3 linked regions of the Xenopus tropicalis genome follow. Each later gene encodes a partner of the first gene's protein in a complex. Links are inferred from orthologs where the notes say so. Each region holds a gene or a part of one and is shown in the gene's direction. Other genes may lie near its edges. The genes, in order: cab39, stk11 and strada.

The links.
Region 2: the proteins of cab39 (region 1) and stk11 are in contact, whole or in part, in a crystal structure (PDB 2WTK), measured with the Homo sapiens proteins. The link is inferred for Xenopus tropicalis from reciprocal best matches to the Homo sapiens genes CAB39 and STK11. Residues at the interface, in NP_001124321.1 of Homo sapiens: Gln109, Gly111, Thr112, Lys196, Leu197, Leu238, Asp239, Arg240, His241, Phe243, Met246, Ile250, Val280, Ala283, Asn284, Pro285, Glu317, Gln318; in NP_000446.1 of Homo sapiens: Gln100, Arg103, Arg104, Glu165, His168, Ser169, Gly171, Leu201, His202, Pro203, Phe204, Ala205, Ala206, Asp207, Asp208, Phe234, Arg301, Ser307, Arg310, Lys311, Lys312.
Region 3: the proteins of cab39 (region 1) and strada are in contact, whole or in part, in a crystal structure (PDB 3GNI), measured with the Homo sapiens proteins. The link is inferred for Xenopus tropicalis from reciprocal best matches to the Homo sapiens genes CAB39 and STRADA. Residues at the interface, in NP_001124321.1 of Homo sapiens: Leu26, Glu27, Lys28, Gln29, Tyr55, Gly56, Thr57, Asn58, Ala85, Asp86, Gln88, Leu89, Phe92, Glu93, Lys96, Arg107, Glu138, Leu141, Ile145, Ser176, Thr177, Phe178, Asp179, Ser182, Asp183, Glu221, Asn222, Tyr223, Val224, Arg227; in NP_001003787.1 of Homo sapiens: Pro64, Leu104, Glu105, Cys107, Ser108, Asn109, Val112, Gln116, Leu119, His120, Lys123, Leu124, Phe125, Asn126, Thr136, Phe137, Ile138, Asp140, Asn141, Leu143, Tyr185, Met189, His223, Gly224, Arg226, Val426, Asp427, Asp428, Trp429, Glu430.

What each region holds. Positions count from the first base shown.
Region 1 is NC_030681.2:128,014,184-128,021,908, reverse strand, and holds the start of cab39 (calcium-binding protein 39), read left to right. Parts: upstream 1-3,134; 5' UTR 3,135-3,682; intron 3,683-7,725. UniProt on the Homo sapiens protein: Component of a complex that binds and activates STK11/LKB1. In the complex, required to stabilize the interaction between CAB39/MO25 (CAB39/MO25alpha or CAB39L/MO25beta) and STK11/LKB1.
Region 2 is NC_030677.2:100,090,527-100,098,161, reverse strand, and holds the start of stk11 (serine/threonine-protein kinase STK11), read left to right. Parts: upstream 1-2,366; 5' UTR 2,367-2,484; coding exon 2,485-2,783; intron 2,784-7,635. UniProt on the Homo sapiens protein: Tumor suppressor serine/threonine-protein kinase that controls the activity of AMP-activated protein kinase (AMPK) family members, thereby playing a role in various processes such as cell metabolism, cell polarity, apoptosis and DNA damage response.
Region 3 is NC_030686.2:17,095,092-17,102,687, reverse strand, and holds the start of strada (STE20-related kinase adapter protein alpha), read left to right. Parts: upstream 1-2,389; 5' UTR 2,390-2,499; intron 2,500-3,258; 5' UTR 3,259-3,308; coding exon 3,309-3,320; intron 3,321-3,580; coding exon 3,581-3,638; intron 3,639-4,439; coding exon 4,440-4,468; intron 4,469-6,492; coding exon 6,493-6,598; intron 6,599-6,687; coding exon 6,688-6,809; intron 6,810-7,239; coding exon 7,240-7,348; intron 7,349-7,596. UniProt on the Homo sapiens protein: Pseudokinase which, in complex with CAB39/MO25 (CAB39/MO25alpha or CAB39L/MO25beta), binds to and activates STK11/LKB1.

The sequences.
Region 1 (7,725 bases):
GCCAACAACGAGTACAATCTAAATCCAACTAAACACATTTGGAGAGATGTGAAAGCTGCAGTTGGGCTTAGGCATCCCTAAAATCTGGAAGAGCTGGAGTAGACTGCAAAACAACAAGCAAATAAAGCTACAGCATATACAGTTAACGGCAAATATTTCATTTCCTTTTCAGCTTTTTATGTAATGCCTTCCCCTCAAGCTTCCCTGACACATCTTGCTATTTATGTGCAGTTAAAATCTCTGTTGATAAACCATTTTATCTAGAAATATTTCAGAGGTGAAACAAATAGTAAGCTTATTACTGGCAGCACTTACCATTGCTTTGAAGGATGCTGGGAAACCTTTCAATGTGGTGATAATATTGTTTGTATATCCAAAACAGGGCTGTTTATTATTTTTAGAAGGGTTCTCTTTTGGGTTGTGAATGAAAATGTTAGCAGAAGATTAATGAGGCACAAAAGATTTTGTGTAATGCTCCAGCGGCCCAAGCTGTCTGTGTGCCCCCTCTAGATATGCCTGTTTAGCATTATTAGCATTGTTACATATGAACATATCATAATTTTTTTCGATGACTTAAAAACCCCTAATTTTGTGGGCAATTATGAATAATATATGGTGCTGGTTTCACATTGGTCTAAAATTGAATATTGTCTGCAAAAATGGCCCCTTTATTGGAGCTCCCTATAGATCCTATAAGTACTCTGTCAGTAATTCAAATGAAGGGTGGGCGTGTCCTAATGGTCTTTGCAAAGGGGAAGAAGCACTCCAGTGTGTCGGCAATGCCTTTAAATCATTTATTTGCAGAAATGAACAAACAGCACGTGTCCTAATGGTCCCTGCCAAAAGCACAGCAGGGGGAGGATAGCCAATCACAGCCCTGCACTCACACAAGCAAAGACAGGCTTCTGTTCCCTATCAGGTCAGTCTAACTGCTGATTGGTTCCTATCTTACAGTGCAGTGTACTGAGAGCCGCCGGCTCCCCTGCACATCCAGAGAATTCAGCCAGCAGGAAGTGGAACAGATGGGCGGGACTAGTAGGGTTTTGGTGGAATTTCTCAATAAATCAGTCCAAAACACTACTTTTTTAAGCACAATCCTTCTATATCTAGAGGAGTATAATTCTTAATTTTTATATATGTCTCCTTTAAGGTAGATCTCTGTTTATCTGTTAAAAAACTGTTTCCCCCACCACAGACATGGGCTAATAGAGCCCATACTCTAGATCAGTGCTGTCCAACTGGCGGCCCGCGACCCCCCTCTGTGTGGCCCCCCACCTGTCTGGCTGCTTTGATGGCTTACCTTTGAGTAAGCATTAAATGGTATCAGTACTGAGATTAACTGGCCCCCTGCATGGCTCACACCTCAGATTCAGGCTGTAATCCCTCTGTATTGTTTAAAAATGTAATCCCCTGTGTTTTTCACACCTTTTAATACCTGCATTGTTCACCCTCTGCAGTGTTCACACCTTAGGCTCAGACTGTAATCACCCCCATTGTTCACTTCTTCACACCTCAGACATAGGTACTGTAGGCAGAGTATGGCACATACAGCCAGCATAGGGCAGGTAGAGTATGGCACACACAGGCAGCATAGGTCAGGGAGGGTATGGCACACATAGGAAGGGTAGGGCAGGCAGAGTATGGCACACACAGTCAGGGTAGGGCAGGCAGAGTATGGTACACAGAGGCAGCATAGAGAAGGCAGAGTATGGCACACATAGGCAGGGTAGGACAGGCAGAGTATGGCACACACAGACAGCATAGGACAGGCAGAGTGCTGCCTGTGTGTGCCATACTCTGCTTGCTCTATGCTGCTTGTGGGAGGTGAACCTGGCAGGGGTTTGTTGTGGGAGTTTGTTAGCAGTTGGAAATAGCCATTAAATGGTCCCTAAGGTGTGTAATTATGTACTGGGGGTTGCTCTGCTATCCACAGGGGAGGAGGAGGCATATGGAATTTAAGGGTATATCTTAATATGACATAATTCTTTCACATATGAATGATGGTTGATATCCCCACAGTAAGGACCAAGCATTTGGGATTTTGCTGTGTTACCACCATTGTGATAAAATAGGTGTGGTTTGAAGTGGGTGTGGTTTCAAAAAGGGGAGTGGTCAAAACTGGCTTCCATTAGCGGCCCTCCACCATGTATGCTAGAGAAATTCCGGCCCTCGGCACCGTAGAAGTTGGACAGCACTGCTCTAGATGGATGAAACAATTCATATTTTGCAGCTGGAGGGAGCTCCTGGCATGGTGGCCGCGTTGGAGCTCATGCAAAGGAGCTAATACCCCATCTCACTCATTATATATATGCGTGACGTAGGATTGATGCATCCCCTGATCCAACAAACGAGCTGGGGAATAGTATTATCCCTGGGGAATAAGGTGCTCCAACATAGCCACACGCACCTGGAGATCCCCGAGATTGGAGGGGGGCAGCAATAGTGAGGGGTTCTTGGGAAAATACTAGCTTTTACCCCATTTGGAGTGCAGATTTTATTAGCAAACAATTTTTATACGATAGGAGCAATTAGACAATTTGAACGTTCCCCCTCATTCACGGGGCATACTTCCTAAGCCTTGTTTGTCAGAATTTACTCAAAACAAGATAAAGAGTCATTCATTACATCACAAATTCTATTTTTAAATCGATTAGTGTCAGCAACACTGTCTCTTATAGGAACCTTCACAGCTTGCGTGCTCATAAACATGCTCTGTAATACAAGCACCACTCAGCAAGTTTTTCTCAGATATTTTCCTACTGGTGTTTCAGTTACCTGGTTGTGCTACCCAATTGTATGCCTAGGGTGCCAATAAAGTTGTCCTTGTTTAAAGATCTGAGAGAATAAAATAAGTTCCGAATGGAATAACATTCTTTAATGTCCAATAGTGACACAAAGGAATAAGGAAGCCTATTTTTGTCCTATTGGCCATTTATTAAAATGGTCTTTGACAAATGTCTTTGTACATCTCTGCCTACACAAGAAATGTTATAGACCCAGGTCTGTGGGTTACAACTCCGCGCTGTATTCATACACTAGGATGCCGCCTGGCCGGTGTTATTAATAGGGAGGAGTAAGCATGCTGCCCGGCTGATGCTGCAGTTCTTTATAGGAAAGAGACAAACAGAAGGGCGATGAGTCAATGCTTATAATAATTTGCTGTGTTGTTTGTACTTCTCCTCGGACACGCGTTACAATAGTTCTAAAAACACGGTACAAGCTAATCATCTGTATATTCTGTCCCACGGCCACAAAGGCGCCCTCAACTGCCCACAGAACGTATCTCTCCCCAAGCCCGAACTACACCAAATTGGCACAGTCAGTTCTCCTGCAGTCCGGAAGTCGCTACCTTAGTGACGTCATGCTATGCGCCGGAAAAGGAACCTTCTGGGCCTGAGAGCACCATAGAGACGGGAGGAGCCGCCCGGAGTGACCCGAAAGGAGAGAGACCCTCCTGAGTGACCGGTAACCAGGGGCACCGGGGAGTGATCTGGAAGTGAAAGGATCCTAGTAGAGGCCTATCCTTCTTGGCATCTTGGCACTGAGCGGAGATAGGGAAGCCCCGAGAGAGAGAGAGAGCCGAGAAGAAAGAAGCCCACAGACACTCTCCTGTAACCAGAGGGGCGAACCCAAGTGATTCCAGAGAGGGTGTGTCCGTCACCTGCAGCGCTGTAGCTCACTGGTGTGTAATGTCCCTTCCCTGTGCAACTTGGTGCCGTGTGTGTGTGTGTGTATGTGTATATGTGTGTGTGTGTGTATATGTATATATATATGTGTGTGTGTATGTGTGTGTATGTGTATATGTGTGTGTATGTGTATATGTATGTGTGTGTATGTGTATATGTGTGTGTGTGTGTGTGTGTATGTATGTGTGTGTGTGTGTGTGTATGTATATATGTGTGTGTGTGTGTGTGTGTGTGTGTGTGTGTGTGTGTGTATGTATGTGTATGTGTGTATGTATATGTGTGTGAGTGTGTATATATGTGTGTGTGTGTGTATGTATATATATATGTGTGTGTGTGTGTGTGTGTGTGTGTGTGTATGTATATATATATGTGTGTGTGTGTGTGTGTGTGTGTGTATATATATATATGTGTGTGGGTGTGTATATATATATATATATGTGTGTGTGTGTGTATATATATATATGTGTGTGTGTGTGTGTGTGTGTGTGTGGCCAGCATCTCACTGCCTGTGTAGCCAAACGTGCATTATTATGATATGGTGTGTGCTTGTGGCAATGTGCCTGCTGCTGCTGACTTTTAGCTTTTGGAGCTTGCCAGCTGGCCGCTGTTTGTTGTTCTATGATAACATTATACTGGCACCTGTCAGGTGTGTTTGTTCGGTCAGGTCTTTGCCTGTCAGTCTGGGGTCGCCCACCTCTGCAGCCCATAGAATGGCATGCTACTGGCTCCCATGGCACATCCTAGGCTTTTATTGTATCTGCCACCCATCACTCCCATTGTGTTTAGACTAGGCAGGTAACAATCTGCCTGTAATATTCATTACCAGTGGCCTAATGTGCTACTTACTATAGCTGTACTGGCATCTGTCAGGCTTTAGTGATCACATCATCACATCCTTTTAGTGACTTCCTCATTAGCTTAAAAGTATTTATCTTACTGCATAAATTCTCTATACTATTTTCTTTCTATCGGCACATGCCCACTCCAACAGCCAGCCATTTAATTGTATGTATGTATGTATGTATAACTTTATTTATAAAGCGCCACAAGGGTATGCAGCGCTGTACAATCTTACAATATACACAGTTACACACAGGGAGGACAAGTGTTATAATAAATACAATAAATAAGTATAAATACACAGGGAATAAGTGCCATGTGCTATGAGACACAGTAGGAAGGAGGTCCCTGCCCCATAGAGCTTACAGTCTATGTAATTCTTACATGGGCAGCATTATATGCCTTATATGCAGTGTAAACAAACCACTCTGTAAAGTCACAAATAACAAATCTTACAGACAATTAAGATTATAATATACAGCATCATGTTTTTTTTATTAGTGCCTAGACCTGCTGTAGGATATTGGGGCGTGCTGGGAATTGTAGTTCACCAGTCTTTTCAGGATGCATCTTGTGAAGCAATTTCCTGTTTATTGGTACATAACCCATATGCCTGCAGTGAAATGTTTTGCATCATCCATCTATGAAATGCAGTTTGATCTGGTATTTAGGATCAGTAATAACAATCTACAATTAGTATTGATGTTGGTATTTACAGTTTATGTATGTGAGTCTATAGATAGGTCGGTATGGATCTGTGTATGTGCGCTGGGGTTCGCTTGGAAGGGTTAAACTTAATGGACTTTTTTCAACCCAACTTAATTATGTAGCTATGATACCATGCCATAATATTCCTGCGAGTGTAACAAACTTTATTTTCAGTGTGCATTGCATAGAATGTCTATAAATGCTGAGTATTATTAAACTGAGCAGCATTAATTGTTTTATATATGGAATTGGAAGACTTTTCTTTACCCTCTACCCTATTAAGCTTATTTGCATCACAGTCTTGCTCTGTATGTTGCATGGTTACTGTTCTAATATTGCCATGTTGGGATTTCAGGTCAATGTAAATACATTTTAGGAGTAAGTAACCAATTAGGGTTTAACCTTGAAGACAAAAATAAGGCTTAAATATGCTCATGATGTTCTACAGAAAAAAAGCTCAGTCAAATACTGTTAGTAAGTGCCCCTTAGGCCCCTCGGGTCGTAGGTGACCACAACACCACCATTCTTACAAGATGAATTCAATTCATATATAATTGATGGTGGTGGACAAAGTACCTCAAGCTCCTTTCATAATCTCCCATAGATTAAATGCTATATTTGTCCAAATATTTCTGATCTACTATTCACCACTGGAATAAAAGCTTTTGAGCCCTTTATTTTTGTGTGTCCCATGGCATGACTGTTAAGAAATCCCTATGAACATGTGTTCTCTGAAGCACTTTATTTGCACAAGTGTAAGTGTGTTTGTGCACTATATCTCAATCATTCTGTCCATCTGGGGGAGGTTACTCCAGAGGTTGTTCTCTTTCTAACCTGACTCAGAGTTGCCTGTATAGTCTCGTTTTTCAGTGAAGTAATATTAGTTGTGAAGTATGTGCTTTTGTCTATAACTCATAGCCAATGATTATTAAACATCTACAAATTAAATTTTCTTTATCGCTATAGCTATTGCCAAGCTACCTCATATATCGCTTCTTTCTCAGGCTCCATTTTTATTGGTGATTTTAAACATGTCCACTGTTCTCCGAGCTCTCCACTCCTTTGGTTTGCCTAGCATTAGCTTCTCTTGATTTTTCGCACCTCCAATTTTCCTTATGACCTTCTTCTGTTGTAATTGTCCTTTGGTATACCACAGAGTTCAGCCTTTTCTTTGTATCTCCTCCCTTGTAAAATATAATAATCCCCTGTAATGTTTTACTTTGTTTCTGCTGATGGCACTCATAGTAACATAGTAACATAGTAAGTTGGGTTGAAAAAAGACATACGTCCATCAAGTTCAACCATAATGCCTATACCTAACCTGCCTAACTACAAGTTGATCCACTCATATCAGTCTTTACTTTTCTGAGCTATCTCTTTTCTTAATTATCAGTATCCTATGGTTATCTTTGTGCTCCATTTGTGTTCTTCTCAATTGGGCCTAAACATCTTTTTTTTTTTTTTTTTTTTTTTTTTTAAGCCCAAAATGCATACTTACATCACTTTCTTCTCCTATGGTGTATCTTTTGTGTGCCCTCACTTAGCCTTACTGATACCCTTCTTCATCTATTTACCCGTCTTCATCTATTTACTTCAAAAACTCTCTGCTGCCTACCCAAGTGCCAAGTGTTGGTACAGTTATAACCCCTGTGCCTTAGTTGCTGCTAGGTCAGAGCAGGGCCATCTACAGCACATCACTTTATTATCCTTGTGTGCAGCCTTACAGTGAGTACATTCTTTGTGACACTGAGATGCGTAGCTGAGATTAAGAAAAAAACACAACATTTGAGAATAATGGAAAAGAATTATTGAAATTTGAAGATGGCCATATTATATTGGCATACTAAGAACCCATAGAGCTCTTGTACAGGCTGGGGCCACCCTTTTAATTGCCTATATGTGATGCGTATTATTTGCACTTAGGAAGTCAGGAAGAAGTGTTGAATACATTGGGCACTATAACAAATTCTTCTTCACAGTTTGCCTTTCTGAGGATCTGCTGCTTTAATCATCTGTCTCCCCAAAGCCCTTCTGTTCTGGTTTTTACACAATGTACTAATAGGTTGGTATTGTAAAAAGATAGATATTGTGGGAACAAGAAAGAGAACAAATGTCAAATCAAGCAGAATATGCACAGATCATTAAACTGGGACACAAAGGGAAACTTGCCCTGGTCTCTAAAAAATCCCTGGTAGTGCTTGGCTCTTTCTCGATGATATGTGAGATTGATGTTGATGCACCACCTCACAGTCAGCCAACCTCCATTACCCCTGTCCAACAGGGGCAGTTGAACCCTGCTGTCCCCATGTGTGTAGGAACTAGCTTGTCACTGGAACTAAGTCTTTGCATTGCATTGCATTTCAGTGGTAGAAGGCTGCTGTTATCAGCAAGGTGGCCAAGTGAGTCAGTCCAAATTTTTTTTTAATAAAAAAGATAAACATGTAATTATGTAGCAGTGATTAATATGTTTTTACCCAGTGGTTATGAAGCA
Region 2 (7,635 bases), on another chromosome or scaffold:
CATTCAGTCAGAATTGTTCCCCCACTGCTGCACAACATCTTGATGCTCACTACCCATAGCACTGCACGTTTTACTGCAACAGTTGTTCCTATATTCCTTTTAATATTGGAACTTAAACATTCATAGACCCAACTCTTGTGCCCCAGTGTACTGTGCCCCTTTGACTTACCATGTAGAACAGTATCCCTTAAAGACAAATCTGCACCATGGAAATTATAAACTCTCAGCGTCCTGTCACAGTACAGAGCAGGAACCAAGCAACAATAACAGAGCAGAACAAATAGAGGAAGGTATGAAGCAACACCCATTATGTCAGCATCACAAAAGGTAATGTTCCTGCTCTTATAGGATTTCATACATTATTAGAGAATATGTAGTTATCACATGACTCAAGTTCAGAAAAATTCTGTCCAAGGGGTAAAGTACTTTGGCAAGTCAAATGGGGTCTTTAAAAATGTAAGTAAAAATGTCCAGCAGTTACCTACTTGGGTTCTGATTGCAATAGGCCCAACTTTAGTGGTTATTGCCCTCTAGTGGCAAACATGAAAAGTACACTAAAAAAAATCACCCTATCTTAAGAGGTGATTAAAGTACAGCTGCCCTGATACCATGTAAAAAAGCAAGTATTATACTTTTTTGGTCAAATATTGGGAGTAGAGGCAGGAATTACTAAACGCCAAAAAAAACATGAAAAAGTTTTTTAAGTAACTGCTACCCTTGAACAAAAAAGCAGTACAGCTGAGCCAGATCCTTGTGCACACCTCCGCCACACGTGCAAGTTCCAATAAAGGAAAAAACTAAAATAGAAAGAATTGGGCAATGAGGCAGAAAACTTTTTATTGTCCAATATTGATGTTAACCACCATGAAACTATCAAAGCATTTTTTTTAGTAAAGTTGAGCAGGGACAAAAGTGTAAGTCGATGTCTGATCACTTGTTTCTGCTCCTGAAAAGATATTTTTATCCTTATTTATCACTCAACCAGTCATTAATAACATTGCCGCAGTTATGTTCTCTGTAGTGATGATGTCACAAATTCTTCTCATGGGGCTGTGACAAAATGCTGGAAGAGTGGGCCAGATCACCTTTCAAATCCCTCTGATATAGACATAGAAATAGGACCTAGTAAATCCTCCAGGCAATCCCCTTCTTACTGCAGGTGCTGCCAACACAGGGATCAAGAAGCAGCCCAGAACAGGATAAAAAAAAATCAGAGTAGGTGTAATGTTGTTCCATCCATCCCTGTATGAATGTTAACTGTTCCTTTTAATATGCATTAGCAGCTTAGCTGCTATCTAAGATCTCCATGTGGGTTTTCTAGTTCTGCTACATCTGTGTACCAGGTTATCACAGTAGGCACCAGAGGCAGTGCTTAAAGTAGTAAACTGAGCAGCAGGATCTGAAGATTTAACAAGATGACAGCAGGCAGGACCAGTCTGGGATTCAAATCAAGCCATGGCATTTCAAGTACACGGATTAAGCATTTTTAAGTACAAAGATTACTAGTCTGGGCCTGACATCAGTGGTAAGAACAACCAGACACACCCTTATAGGAACCCAGAACTTTTGGCTGCAAAACCGACAGGGAACCTGCACACTTCAGTATTAGGAGAGGAGAGTAAAGAGAAAAATATAACTATTTGTCAATTTCACCCAGTCTTTGGACCATGAGGCAACTGTGGAAAAGAAAGAGCCTAGAACACAAGATTACGTTTGGTTTAGTCACTCATTACTTTCTCTTTCTTAAATTAGCCCTTGTTTTGTCTCCAAACTGAAATCTGCCCCTTTGTTTTACAAAAACACTGAACCCACAGAAAACAAAAAACTAAAGATGAATGCTATCTGGCCCAAGTTCGCACAAAAACGTTCCCTTTTAGTCAAATTCAGAAAAGAGGCTTTAATGACAGCAGGTATTGCGGGAGAACAGGAAAAATTGTCAATTTTTGTGTGTACCCTGGCACAAGATATAAAAAATAAATTGTACTTTTCGCCTCTTTTTGGAGTATTTTCTTATAATTTTGCAAAGTGCTGAAACTCCAGTGATAGCAATTGGGCTACTGCCGCCTGCACCCACTAAGTTAAACAAGGATGGCTCTGCGGGTAGTGGGCATTGCTGGCAACCACACGAAAAAAATAATTTTTCCTACATAACTTCAAAAAAGCAGAGTTCCAACCACAGGAAAACTTTAGGGACACGATTTAGTGTCAGCCTATAGCTTACGGCTTATACTGCTTGATACTTATGTACTACGTCCCCACCCCACATTCCCCCTGACGGCTACGTGTAGCGTCATTACGCTTATTTACGTGTGTGACGTCACATCTATCGCGAGATGAGACTTGTGATGTCTGTAGTAGCTGTCCGGCAGGAGTCAAGGAGCTAGACGTTAACGGCGCTGCGGGACTTTTGAACAGCGAACCGGGACTGCAGGCTGTACTAAGAAAACCGGGATTGTCCCGGGAAAAGTGGGACTGCAAGGAGGAATGCTGTGTCCTTCAAGTATGGATGAAGGGGGGTCACAAGAGATTGGCTTTTTGGGAGACCTGTCAGTAGGAATGGACACTTTCATTCACCGCATTGACTCCACTGAAGTGATTTATCAACCTCGCCGCAAGCGTGCCAAATTGGTTGGAAAGTATCTGATGGGGGACCTTCTGGGGGAGGGTTCTTACGGGAAAGTAAAGGAAATGCTGGACTCTGACACACTGTGCCGCCGTGCTGTCAAAATCTTGAAAAAAAAGAAGCTGAGAAGGATTCCCAATGGAGAGGCAAATGTCAAGAAGTGAGTTTACTATTCCCCTTCCCATCTCCCCATTTTTATTTTAAAGTGTTGCCAAAGGTAAGGAAATATATGGGAGGTTATACTTGAGAGATACTGTGTTACATGTAAAATGTAACTGTTATTTAATAAACCACTCTGGGCTATAACCATTGGGAGAGAAGCTTTGCTGGGGTCATTCATTAGGATCAAAAACTTAAAAAAAAGTTTGAAAGTTACCCTGCATTTCCTATGAACCTTGCAGCATGTAAAGGTTACCTGGAGACTGTACTCAACAAAAACCACAGGCAACAGATATCTGCTTTTAATCTGAGCATTCCCTAGTTTCAGGGGACATAGTGCAAGAGGCATACACATTTGCTAAGGGGGTGGCAGTCCCCTGCAACAACTATAAAATGGGAAGCCACAATCAAAAGAAATGCTCTGTGATTTACAGATCAGTGACATTACGTTATAGCAACATGAGACAAGTAGCCCAGTACGTTATTCCATTTCATGGCTTAAGTCATATGGTTGAATGTTGCAGTTGTCTACTTTAGATTGCATTAGATTTTTAAACCGTTTTTTTACTTGTCTTCATGGCATTAAGTTGTGTAGGGTGCTTTAATCCTAAAAAAAAGAAAAAGAAAAATTGGCCCTGCACTATAGTTTCAGGGTGCACAGTGTGTGATAGTAATCATAACTAGAAAAAATTCCTAAGAAGGGAAGACACACAAAACATTTTTCTGGCACACTGTATACCACAATTAAAAATTGTATCTTTATTTCATCACTTAAAAACTTTGGTTAAAACTTTTGGATAGAAAAAAAGTAAGAAGGAAAGTTAAAATCTAATCTCTATTACCCGGGCTAATCACAAAGTTTGTATCTACTGTAACAACCCTTAACTTCAGTAAACGCTACAGTTGCAAATCCCTTTAGGGAAATAACGATACCCGCTACAACTTTAATCCTGACATTAGAATGCCTATTATATGTCTGACTAATGAAAGACAATGCATTTTGGAGTCTGCTAATTTGTAGGTACCCATGCAATGTCTACTGAATAGGATGTAACGTTGTCCCAATTTTGTGTGGTAACTGACACTATTCCATGTATTTCCCACACTATTCCATGTATCTCAAATGCCTATGTGTCCTGTTACAGCAACTGAATTAAAGTTGATGTTTTTATGTGGGAAGAAAATTGTTTATTTTTTCACAAGTTGCAAGGCTGCAGTTTTTGTTCATGTCTCAATATAATCAATATACTTGTAATCACAGTACAGGTATAGGCTCTTTTAATCAGAAAGCTCTAAAATATGTTGACGTAGAACCCATTTTAAGCAAACTGTTCTTATTTTATTAATGAAATAATATGAAATAATACATATACTAAATGGTAGCTAGGTTGCATGAAACCATGTTGGTGGAAAACAATCCTGTTGTGTTTATTTAATATATTAAGGGCTATGGGCATTTTTAGTTGATTTTGATCCCTGCATTTTTTGGCAAAAAGAAGAAATCTCCTACTAACCAGCCTCCCAGACTCCCACCTCTCTCCCCTGCAATCAATTTTAAACTCTGCTGCCAGGATCCTCCTGCTCTTTCCTAAGAGGGAACCTGCTCAGCCTTATTTAAGCTCACTAGCATGGCTGCCTGTTAAGCAAAGGATAGCTTACAAAATCCTTCTGCTGACATTCAAAGCCCTTCACTCCTCTGCTCCTCACTACATTTCTTCACTGGTCTCCCTACATGTTCCTGGTCGTCTTCTCCGCTCCCCTCAGAGCCTCCGTCTTTTTACACCATCCACACCCACTGCACTCTCTCGTCTTAAACCTTTCTATCTCTCTGCTCCTTACCTCTGGAATTCTATCCCTGAATCCCTCCGTAGGGAAAACTCACCCACTCTCTTTAAGAAAAAACTCAGCTGTTACCTTCTGGAGCACTAAAACATTATTTTGCCCAGTCCTGCGCTTAAGGGCAAATGCCCATACCTGGTGCACTCTTACCTTCCAGTTTGTGCCTGTATGTTACCCAACCACTTAGATTGTAAGTTCTACGGGGCAGGGACCTCCTTCCTACTGTGTCTCATACCACATGGCACTTATATATATATATATATATATATACATACATATATGTATTTATTTATTATATCACTCGTCCTCCCTGTGTGTAATTTTGTATTCTGTAAGACTGTACAGCGCTGTGTACCCTTGTGGCGCTTTATAAATAAAGTTATACGTACGTACGTACGTACGTACGTACGTACGTACGTACGTACGTACATACATACATATATACATTTGTATTAATTGCCAATCTAGGCTTGGTTTCTAAAGTGTATGCTCCTTGTCAGCAGAAAGTAGCTGGATATGGCACCCACTAGCATCCCTTGTGCAACCTTGCCTTTGAAAGGCTAGTCTAAAGGAGCAGGGCCATTCTGGGGAGAATTTGTTCATCCCTTTTATTCTCTGATCTTGACTTTTAAAACAGTTATCCTCCAGTCTGTTAATCAGCTGACATCTGCTACATTGTTTTAAGAAACAGAACTAGAATTGCAGAGAACAGCCAAACCTGTAATGCTTTTTATACCAAAACATTTACCAATATATTTTTATTAATTTATATTGAAAAGTTGATAGTATTACACTTTGCTTCATTTTACACTAAACTGTTTTGGGGTGGATTTCTCTCTTTAAGTAAAATGAGAGGATGGAACAAGGAATCCTTTTTGTGTGTATTTGTGACTTTCTACAGAACTTTAAACTAAAGTAACTGCAATTTGTCCCTTGTAGGAAAAAACAACAACAAATGCCCATTAGTGTAAATAGCATACAGCCTTTACCCGTGTCAGCTAATCTGACATAAACATTTGAATGAAAAGTCAAACAATTTTTAAAACCGTATTTGTAAAACCAAAATAGGTAATCAGGGCATAAATAACATCTTTAAGTAAAATACACCCACAAGTTCCTACAAGGAATTTTTAGTGTCTACATACATCCAGGCTTTTAGTTGTCATAAGGGTAGTATTGAATGGGGCTGTTTATGGCACTTTAAGTATTGTATCTTTAAGTAGTCCACAAACTTTGTATTAAAGCACCTGAAACAGCCCCCATATATTTTCACTGCAATAACCTGACAGGCACTCATACCAGTGCTTTTCAGGCAATAGTTGCCTGAAAGTGGCACTGTTGTACGTAGAGAGCATATTAATTTTAACATTTTTAAGGGCTGTCCAAATTCCATATAAATTGAACTTGGTTTTTCTAATGGTGGTGGTCATTCTTATCGTCACCGCCCATATATTAACTATATGCCACAGAGTGCCTCAACTTTAGGACCGAATTGTCACTGCTCTCTTATACAGTGACTGACTCTTCATGCATTCTCCTCAGCATAAAAAACATTTTGTATAACAATGTTCTGTGGGCAGGAGCTTGTTGCTTCTTAGAACATATGTTTCCCCCACACTAACTTTCTGTTTGACAGTTCCCTGGGCAAGCTTGTTTTTGTTAGGATTGCAGAACTCTAAATAAGGGGATATTTCCACTCACTCTAATAGAAAACTTTTAACAGGTGCCAGTAGGATTTGAATACTGTGTGCAGAAGTGCACAGATATTGGCAAATGAGCTGCTTCAAGATTCATCTTGAATATGTATTATAATAAATTTCTTATCTTTACATGAAGAAAAGAGTTGTGCACATTGAAGATGAGTTTAAAAAGTAGTATTGTTTACCCAATGTGTGAATAAATATATTTGGGTCAAGCAAATTTCATTTTTTGTTAATAAATCAGAACCCAGATTTTATGTTTGCCTGGAAGTTTGTCTGTTAAAATCTCATAGCAAAACTGGAGTTCTACTTTAAAGGAGACGGAAAGGTAAAAATCACTGGGGGAGATTGTAATTGCTTTCCTTTTTCCCCAGGCTGGTTCTCCTCATAGGAAAAAAACACACAAGCCCGGGGTAGCTGCAAGCCAGCAATCCTCTTCTTTGCACCAGTTGCCCAAGCGCAGTAGAGTGAAAAGCCAAACTTTGACAAAAAAGCCAGCCTTTTCACTCTACTGCATACTCGCAGGCCTCGGAATCCAGAAGACAGAAAGAAGAGGATCACTGGCTCACAGCTAACCCGGGCTATTGTGTTTTTTTCCTCACAGAAGCACCAGCCAAGGGTAAAAAGTAAGCGATTACAATCACTGGGGGGTTCCTAACATTAAGCCGTGATTTTTACCTTTCCTTCTCCTTTAAATTGCATATTGGAGTACTCCGGCTGCAAAGTAATGATGCCTTTCATGCAACAAACACCTATGCAGATTTAGTAGTGGAATTATTATTTGTATAGTAGAATTATAATGGATATATTATTTTTATAAGTCATTGAAGTCATTATTTTAAGTAGCAGCTTAAAAGAGGAGTAGAGAGTTGTTCTAAGACCACTGACATACAGGTTAGATAACACAATCACCAACATCGAATCACACTGGTTCCATTGAACTATTTGGGTAGATTAAATTAATGCCTATAGTTCAATGGAACCAATGTGATTGAATGTTGGTGAATGTATTACCCATAAGGGCTTAAATGTCAGGGAATCATAAGTACCAAATCATTTATCATATTGTTTTCTGCAGTGTACATTATCCTGCATATGTGGAATCCGGTTGTTGTAAAAAATAAAAAAAAAAACAGTTTAAAAAAAAAAAATGTAATCTGTAACCTTCCTCTGCTCTTGTGCCTGCATTTGGCTGGTTGACAGACCAGATTGCCTGTCCTTCTTTATGGATAGCAGCTTTTGGGTAATGGCATTTTTATTGCTGCTATTAGAGGACACATTCTGTTAAAAAAAATATCACGCAGAGCAACCCTA
Region 3 (7,596 bases), on another chromosome or scaffold:
ACCCAGCAAATCAGAGGCACAGTGTTTCCCCCCCCCCAAGCCCACAGAAAATCAGAGGCACAGTGATACCCCCCAGCCCAGAAAATCAGAGGCACAGTGATCCTCCCACCCATAGACCAAAGAAAATCCGAGGCACAGTGATCCCCCCCCAGAAAATCCGAGGTGCAGTGATCCCCCCCCCAGAAAATCCAAGGCGCAGTGATACCCCCCAGAAAATCCGAGGCGCAGTGATACCCCCACAGAAAATTCGAGGCACAGTGATTACCCCCCAGAAAATAAGAGGCACAGTGATACCCCTCCCAGAAAATGAAAGGCACAGTGATACCCCTCCCAGAAAATGAAAGGCACAGTGATACCCCCCCAGAAAATAAAAGGCACAGTGATTACCCCCCAGAAAATAAAAGGCACAGTGATACCCCTCCAAAAAAATCAGAGGCACAGTGATTCACCCCCCCCCCCCCAAAGCCCACAGAAAATAAGAGGCACAGTGATACCCCCCAGCCCAGAAAATCAGAGGCACAGTTATCCTCCCCCCAGAAAATCCGAGGTGCAGTGATCCCGCCCCCAGAAAATCCAAGGCGCAGTGATACCCCCACAGAAAATCCAAGGCGCAGTGATACCCCCACAGAAAATCCGAGGCGCAGTGATTACCCCCCAGAAAATAAGAGGCACAGTGATACCCCTCCCAGAAAACAAAAGGCACAATGATACCCCCCCAGAAAATCCGAGGTACAGTGATCCCCCCCCCAGAAAATCCGAGGCACAGTGATGCACCCCCCAGAAAATCCGAGGCACAGTGATACCCCACCCGAAAAAATCCGAGGCACAGTGATACCCCCCTGAGAAAATCCGAGGTACAGTGATACCCCCCCAGGAAAATCCGAGGCACAGTGATACCCCCCACCCCATAGCCAAAAGGAAATCCGAGGTACAGTGATACACCCCCGCAGCAAATCAGAGGCACAGTGATACCCCCTGAGAAAATCCGAGGTACAGTGATACCCCCCCCAGCAAATCAGAGGCACAATGATTCCCCCCCTCAAGGCCCACAAAAAACCAGAGGCACAGTGATCCCCCCACCCCACAGGCCAAATAAAAATCCAAGGCACAGTGATATCCCCCCCCCAGCAAATCAGGGGCACAGTAATCCCCCCACCCCATAGGCCAAAGAAAATCAGAGGCACAGTGATCCCCCCACCCCATAGGCCAAAAGAAAATCCGAGGCACAGTGATACACCCCCCCAGCAAATCAGAGGCACAGTCATCCCCCCACCCCATAGGCCAAAAGAAAATCCGAGGCACAGTGATTCCCCTCCCAAGGCCCACAGAAAATCTGAGGCACAGTGATATCCCCCCCAGAAAATCCGAGGCACAGTGATCCCCCCACCCCATAGGCCAAATAAAAATCCAAGGCACAGTGATACCCCCCCAGCAAATCAGGGGCACAGTAATCCCCCCACGCCATAGGCCAAAGAAAATCAGAGGCAAAGTGACCCCCCCCACCCCAAGGCCCACAGAAAATCAGAGGCACAGTGATATCCCCCCAGAAAATCACAGGCAGAGTGATACCCCCCCAGAAAATCACAGGCAGAGTGATACCCCCCCAGAAAATCACAGGCAGAGTGATACCCCCCCAGAAAATCACAGGCAGAGTGATACCACCCCCCCCAGAAAATCACAGGCAGAGTGATACCACCCCCCCCAGAAAATCACAGGCAGAGTTGATACCCCCCAAGAAAATCAGAGGCACAGTGATACCACCCCCCACCCCAAGGCCCACAGAAAATCCGAGGCACAGTGATCCCCCCACGCCATAGGCCAAAGAAAATCAGAGGCAAAGTGACCCCCCCCACCCCAAGGCCCACAGAAAATCAGAGGCACAGTGATACCCCCCCAGAAAATCACAGGCAGAGTGATACCCCCCCAGAAAATAACAGGCAGAGTGATACCACCCCCCCCCCCCAGAAAATCACAGGCAGAGTTGATACCCCCCCAGAAAATCACAGGCAGAGTGATACCACCACCCCCCCCAGAAAATCACAGGCAGAGTTGATACCCCCCCAGAAAATCACAGGCAGAGTGATACCACCCCGCCCCCCAGAAAATCACAGGCAGAGTTGATACCCCCCCCAGAAAATCAGAGGCACAGTGATTACCCCCCAGAAAATAAGAGGCACAGTGATACCCCTCCCAGAAAACAAAAGGCACAATGATACCCCCCCAGAAAATCAGAGGCACAGTGATACCCCCCAGAAAATCAGAGGCACAGTGATACTCCCCCCCCCCCCCAGAAAATCACAGGCAGAGTTGATACCCCCCCAGAAAATCTGCCAGTAGAAACCATTAGCACGTCTGCGTATTTGAACGTACCGCGCAATAATGGGGCATGCGCAATAGAGCGGTCACATGGTATTACCACATGACCGTGACGTCACGAAGGTCCCTTCCGAGGAAAGGAACTAGCCGCTACCGTAAATAAAGCCTCCACTACACATCCAGGTACCCGCTCATTGGCAGGAATATAGGAACGGCTCTAGTACTATACATAAGGGCTGTTACTGGCGCTATTAACTGCGCCTCTGAGGCTGAGGGAGGGGGGCAAAATCATCATGTTGTATGCATTGCAGGGTATACTGTCATACACACACTTATAGGCACCCATTATACCTCTGACCTAAACAGGGGCTGCTAAATGTAAGCTAAAGATACTTTATCATGACTTTTAGCTGCAGCATGCTGCACTGCTGGTTCTGACTGCCAAAACAGTCTAGCTGAAGGGGAGAGCTGATTATGAGAGTTAGAGGGAGCTGACTTGGGGCACACGTTGCATGTGGAACCTGGCTTGCATAGACTGCATGTTACCAGCTGGCAGGGTTACCCCCCTGGGTGGGAGTACTGATGAAGTCTAAATGAACAGAGCATTGTGCATTGACAACCAGGACAACCTTATTTATAAAATTCCATATACAAGGGTAACACTTTGGGGCCACCTGGATTTTGTAATACCTTACATTATTAAGAACTGGCATTTCAAAGCAAAAACACTAGGTTTGAAAGAAGTGCTGTTTTATTAAAGCCAAGGGGACCCTGTAGCGTAACGCTGGTGCAGTGATAGTGAGGGAAGCTAGCCTGTGTCAGGTGTGCAAGTGTCGGCTGTGCAAGTGTCGGCTGTGTGATGACAAGAGCTGCTAGGCGGGGTTTTCACATGAAATACTTGGCTTTGCCGCACCCCATATGTGTCATGTCTCTTATCTTTAGACTGTACAGTTTATGGCCTTTGAACGCCCGGGCAGCACTAAAAGGACCCCATGTCTTTTCTTGTAAGTAATCCTACCAAGGAAGATACATTTGCCTAAATAAGGTCTTTTTGTAAGGCACATGGCCAGTTCTGACTTTGAAACAGTGCAGTGGAAGGCAGCTGATTAGCAGGCCTAGAGCGTAACTGACATTGTTTCAAGAGTCAGAACTTAATGCCTTTTACAGATACATTTAAACCCATTCTGCCGTGCAAAAGATCCTAGTTAGGGCTAGCTCTTGCTCTATTGCTGGGATTACTACAGTGATTCTCCTCTTTCCGCAGCGCTGGGTGTCAGACAAGATCCTGGTTGATGGTTTGAGAGAGCTGGAGTTTTTTGGAGGTGAGCTGCTCTTGCAACTTTTACTCTGACAAGCGCTATTTACTAATTTTTGCATAGGCTACATCCCTGGATGGTATCTTAGCAACCTTTTCCATGCCGGTCATAATTTGTAGGGGTTTGAAAAGTTACTGACTAAAGGATCACAAATACTCTGACATTAAAGCCTTGTTCCATTAGAAAGGTTATTAGAAGTATTAAAGGATAACTAAAGCGTGACAAAAAAAGTTAGGCTGCAGTTGTTACATGTTTTGGGCTTTACTAGCTCAAGGCAACCACAGCCCTTTAGAAATTAATATCTGCGCCTCTGAAGATGCTCAGAAATCAGAGGTTTCTGCGTCAGAATGTAATCAACCCTGCTGCTTCAGTTTCTCTGACAGGCAAACCCAATTTTCTGCCTGTTGATTTCTAACGATCCCTAAGTTTAGCTACTCAATGGCAGCCCAAAGCGCACTGAGCATGTGCAGTGTCACTGACAAACAAAATCTGGTCTAACAACATTCAAGATGGGAAGCTCCTCTGGACAACTTTGAAGGCCTTGATTATCACTGTTATAGAGTTCTAACCTCTCTGCTGGAACAATGGTTTTGGTATATAAAATACAGCATCTCTAGTCTTATTAATTTTTAGTCTTTAATTCTACATTAAAATATCAGTGAGGTCTAGAATGCACAAAATCCCTAGTTGTGCCATTGTTTTACAGTAAATTGCAAGCTTTCCAGTTAATTAGTTATGATAATTATGGCCTATGTTATGTTAATCTGTTGCATGAAGCTGAGCAGATAATCCTCTCCCTTCCTCCAGACTCGCATTTAGGGGACTCTCAAAGGAAAGTAAGTGGGACTTTCCCTCTCTGCTCATTCTGTGTGTATATGTTGCATGTAGGCCTCTTCATGACTGGCGGTTTTGGTGTGGAGGAGAGTCTCATCCCTTGCCTATAATTCATTGAAGTCATGCATATGGAACCCTGCATGTTGTGTCTCATCTGCATTTGGCTTTTCAGTGTGGTCCTGTAGGTGCAGTCCCCGTAGAGAAGAATGGGGTCTGTTAACTCCTGTAGAATATGCAATAAAAGCCACTGCACAGGAGAGCACAAAAAACATTTTGTAGCTTGAAACTGAAAGTATTTTAAAGACACTGAGCAGAAAGGTAACCCAGCAGTGCAAATACACAGAGCCACGATATTAACATTTAATTCCAGTCCCTTTTTACTTGCTGTCAAGCTTCACAGTTTCCCGGCTGACTAGTAAAGGTTGATGGGAGTTTCAGTTTATTAGCGTCAGGATAACCAGGTTATTTGGAATGCCCATGTTCCAGACATCACAATAAGGTTTGATGCTGCAAGAAAGACAAATGATTGGCTGAGGAGCTCACTAGTAAACCATTTATGTCTCAAAAACTGTAATATAACACCTATATATGATACTGATTAATTAAACGTACACTCTAGCTTATGTGCATGTGTTCAAATATGGAAGCTCCCCCCTTTTATATATTGTAGGGCAGGGATCGGACAATGGAGGCCACGGGATAAGCTGCCAGTCTCTTAACATATAGTGACAGTAGTGCCATTTCAATTTCATGGTGTGTCATCCAGTGATTTCTGAGCTTGCAAAAGTTTTTGGTCCTTGCCTAGAGCAAGCACATTTAGCTGGTGGAGTGACATTATGCACCTTCCGTTGTCTGTAGTGATTCATGTACAGAAAGATTCTCATGTCTTGTGCTTTGTATTTGGAACATGACCGAATGGCATTTGCATGTGTCCATTTCTGTGGGACTCCGTGCCCTTTCAGTCCATGTAGAATCGTGCTAATGCATCTTTTCTTCTGCTATAAAGTCCATTCATATGACTTCGCCTCTCCCCAAAAAAGGGTTACTGAAGCCCAGGTTATTAGGGGCCCGCTGTATTAGTTACCTTTGTATTTATGAGATTTATGCCACTGTCCATGTTTTGTTGTTTGTGAGATACAAACTGTATACTGTGTGTGTAAAATATACAGATTAGTACCGTACCCAACCACCTTTGCTACTACTACATTGGGTCTCTCAGCTCTTTACAATGCTTCAATCCCCAGTGAAAGCACCTTGCTCCCCATTTGACAGAAACTCATACTGCTTAAAAATACTTGATGGAGGTCAGATGTAGTTAGTTTACCGGATTTCTGTACTCTGTACCAGTTGCCTATATATTTTTGCATTCAGGGAAGAAAATCACTGCCATCGCTTATGCTCATTTTTATAAATGGCTACACAATCTTCTGTGTTAGGTTAAGAAATGGCCAGTCACCTCAGCATTCACTTTCCCATTCTAAACATGTATCTTGGCCAGAAAAAAAAACATAGACAGGCTTGGAAGAATATTTTTTTGGATCTAAGATGTAAACATATTTAAAATCATAGGTGCTGGTTTGGGGCACCTCTGATCTTCGCCTTACTAAATATAAGTTACATACTACTCTGTGTGATTTCTATTACACATTTATGTTGGAGGACCAACCCTGTGACCATGTACACATATACAGAATAAATAGTAGTATCAGCTATAACAATCGGCTACATAGCAAAACAAGCAATGCTTTGCTTCCCTGTTCAGCAGGGGTAAGTCCTGTTGTGCTGAGTTGAAATGCAAAGAATAGTTAGCTGTATAAGGCCTGCAGTTTTTTGCCTTTATATGGCTGCATGATGAAAGTAGAGTATTACTCCCCCATCCACATCCACACAGTTTTAATGCAGTTCATCCCATTCTTTGAATATACCCCATGTCATTGATCAATCAAAATGAAGGTTCTACCATTTCTCCGTCTCATTTTGTCTCCCTTTGCCTCCTGTTGGGTGCCATTCTCCTTGCGGATCTCAGACCAATGAAGCAGCGAGTGTTGAATCCGTAGCATCCTCCCATGGTCCCAACACTATGGGGATCTACACCCCGGACAGCAGTTGTTATGAACTGCTTACTGTGATAGGTGAGTTATAGAACAGACAAGGTATGGAAAAGAACAATGTTAAATTTTGTTTGCTCTTTAATTTATTTACGTTTTTATCTTTTCTTTAGGTAGAGGATTTGACGACTTGATGACTGTAAATTTAGCTCGTTACAGGCCAAATGCAGAATATGTATGTATCAGGAGGGTGAATTTGGAGTTCTGCACCAATGACATGGTTACCTTCCTGCAGGTTAGACAAAGTTGACTACTGGGCAGCTGGCCTGTACAGTGTTTTTAAGATTATACTTTTGATTTGAGAAAGTGGAATTATCTTTACTGCTCTTGTGAGGGATAGTAAAACATATACTAATACCGTACTTTGTCTAAAGAACAACAAACTGCCTGTGCCCATTCCCCAGCCAGTGGGGGTCCTCCACATCTACTCCTTAGGGAATGGGGTGCTATTGGCATTTCACAGAGGAATTGACCTCATTGCATACTCTCTGGGACCAGAGCACAGGCTGGGTACTGTCGCAAGTGGCACAAAATGTAAAGATTTAAAGTCCACTCAGGCCAGAAAAAGAATTGTTCAGTATTCTAAGTAGATCATGACCTTCCTGTCCAATTTCTTTGTTATTGTGCATGTCTTGTTTCTTATCTTTAACACTTATTATCTCTAGACTGAGCTCCACGTGTCCAAGTTGTTCAACCACCCCAATATACTTCCCTACAGAGCCACATTTATAACTGACAATGAGCTTTGGGTGGTTACTCCCTTTATGGCTTATGGTAAGTTGCATCAAAAATTGCTATTTTCTGTTGTTATTCTAAGAATTACTGTTAAGTTACTGTCATAAGGTAGGCTATTATAATTTGAAGTAAGGACTAACAAAGAATGTCTGCCCCTGTCCCATAAAGGCAAGCTCCATGAAGGAAAACTGGCAAACCATATATAGGTATATATACACGTATATAGGTATATATAGATAATTGTTGCAGTTTCCCTGTCCTAATGGATGTCGGCATTGTATTATTTT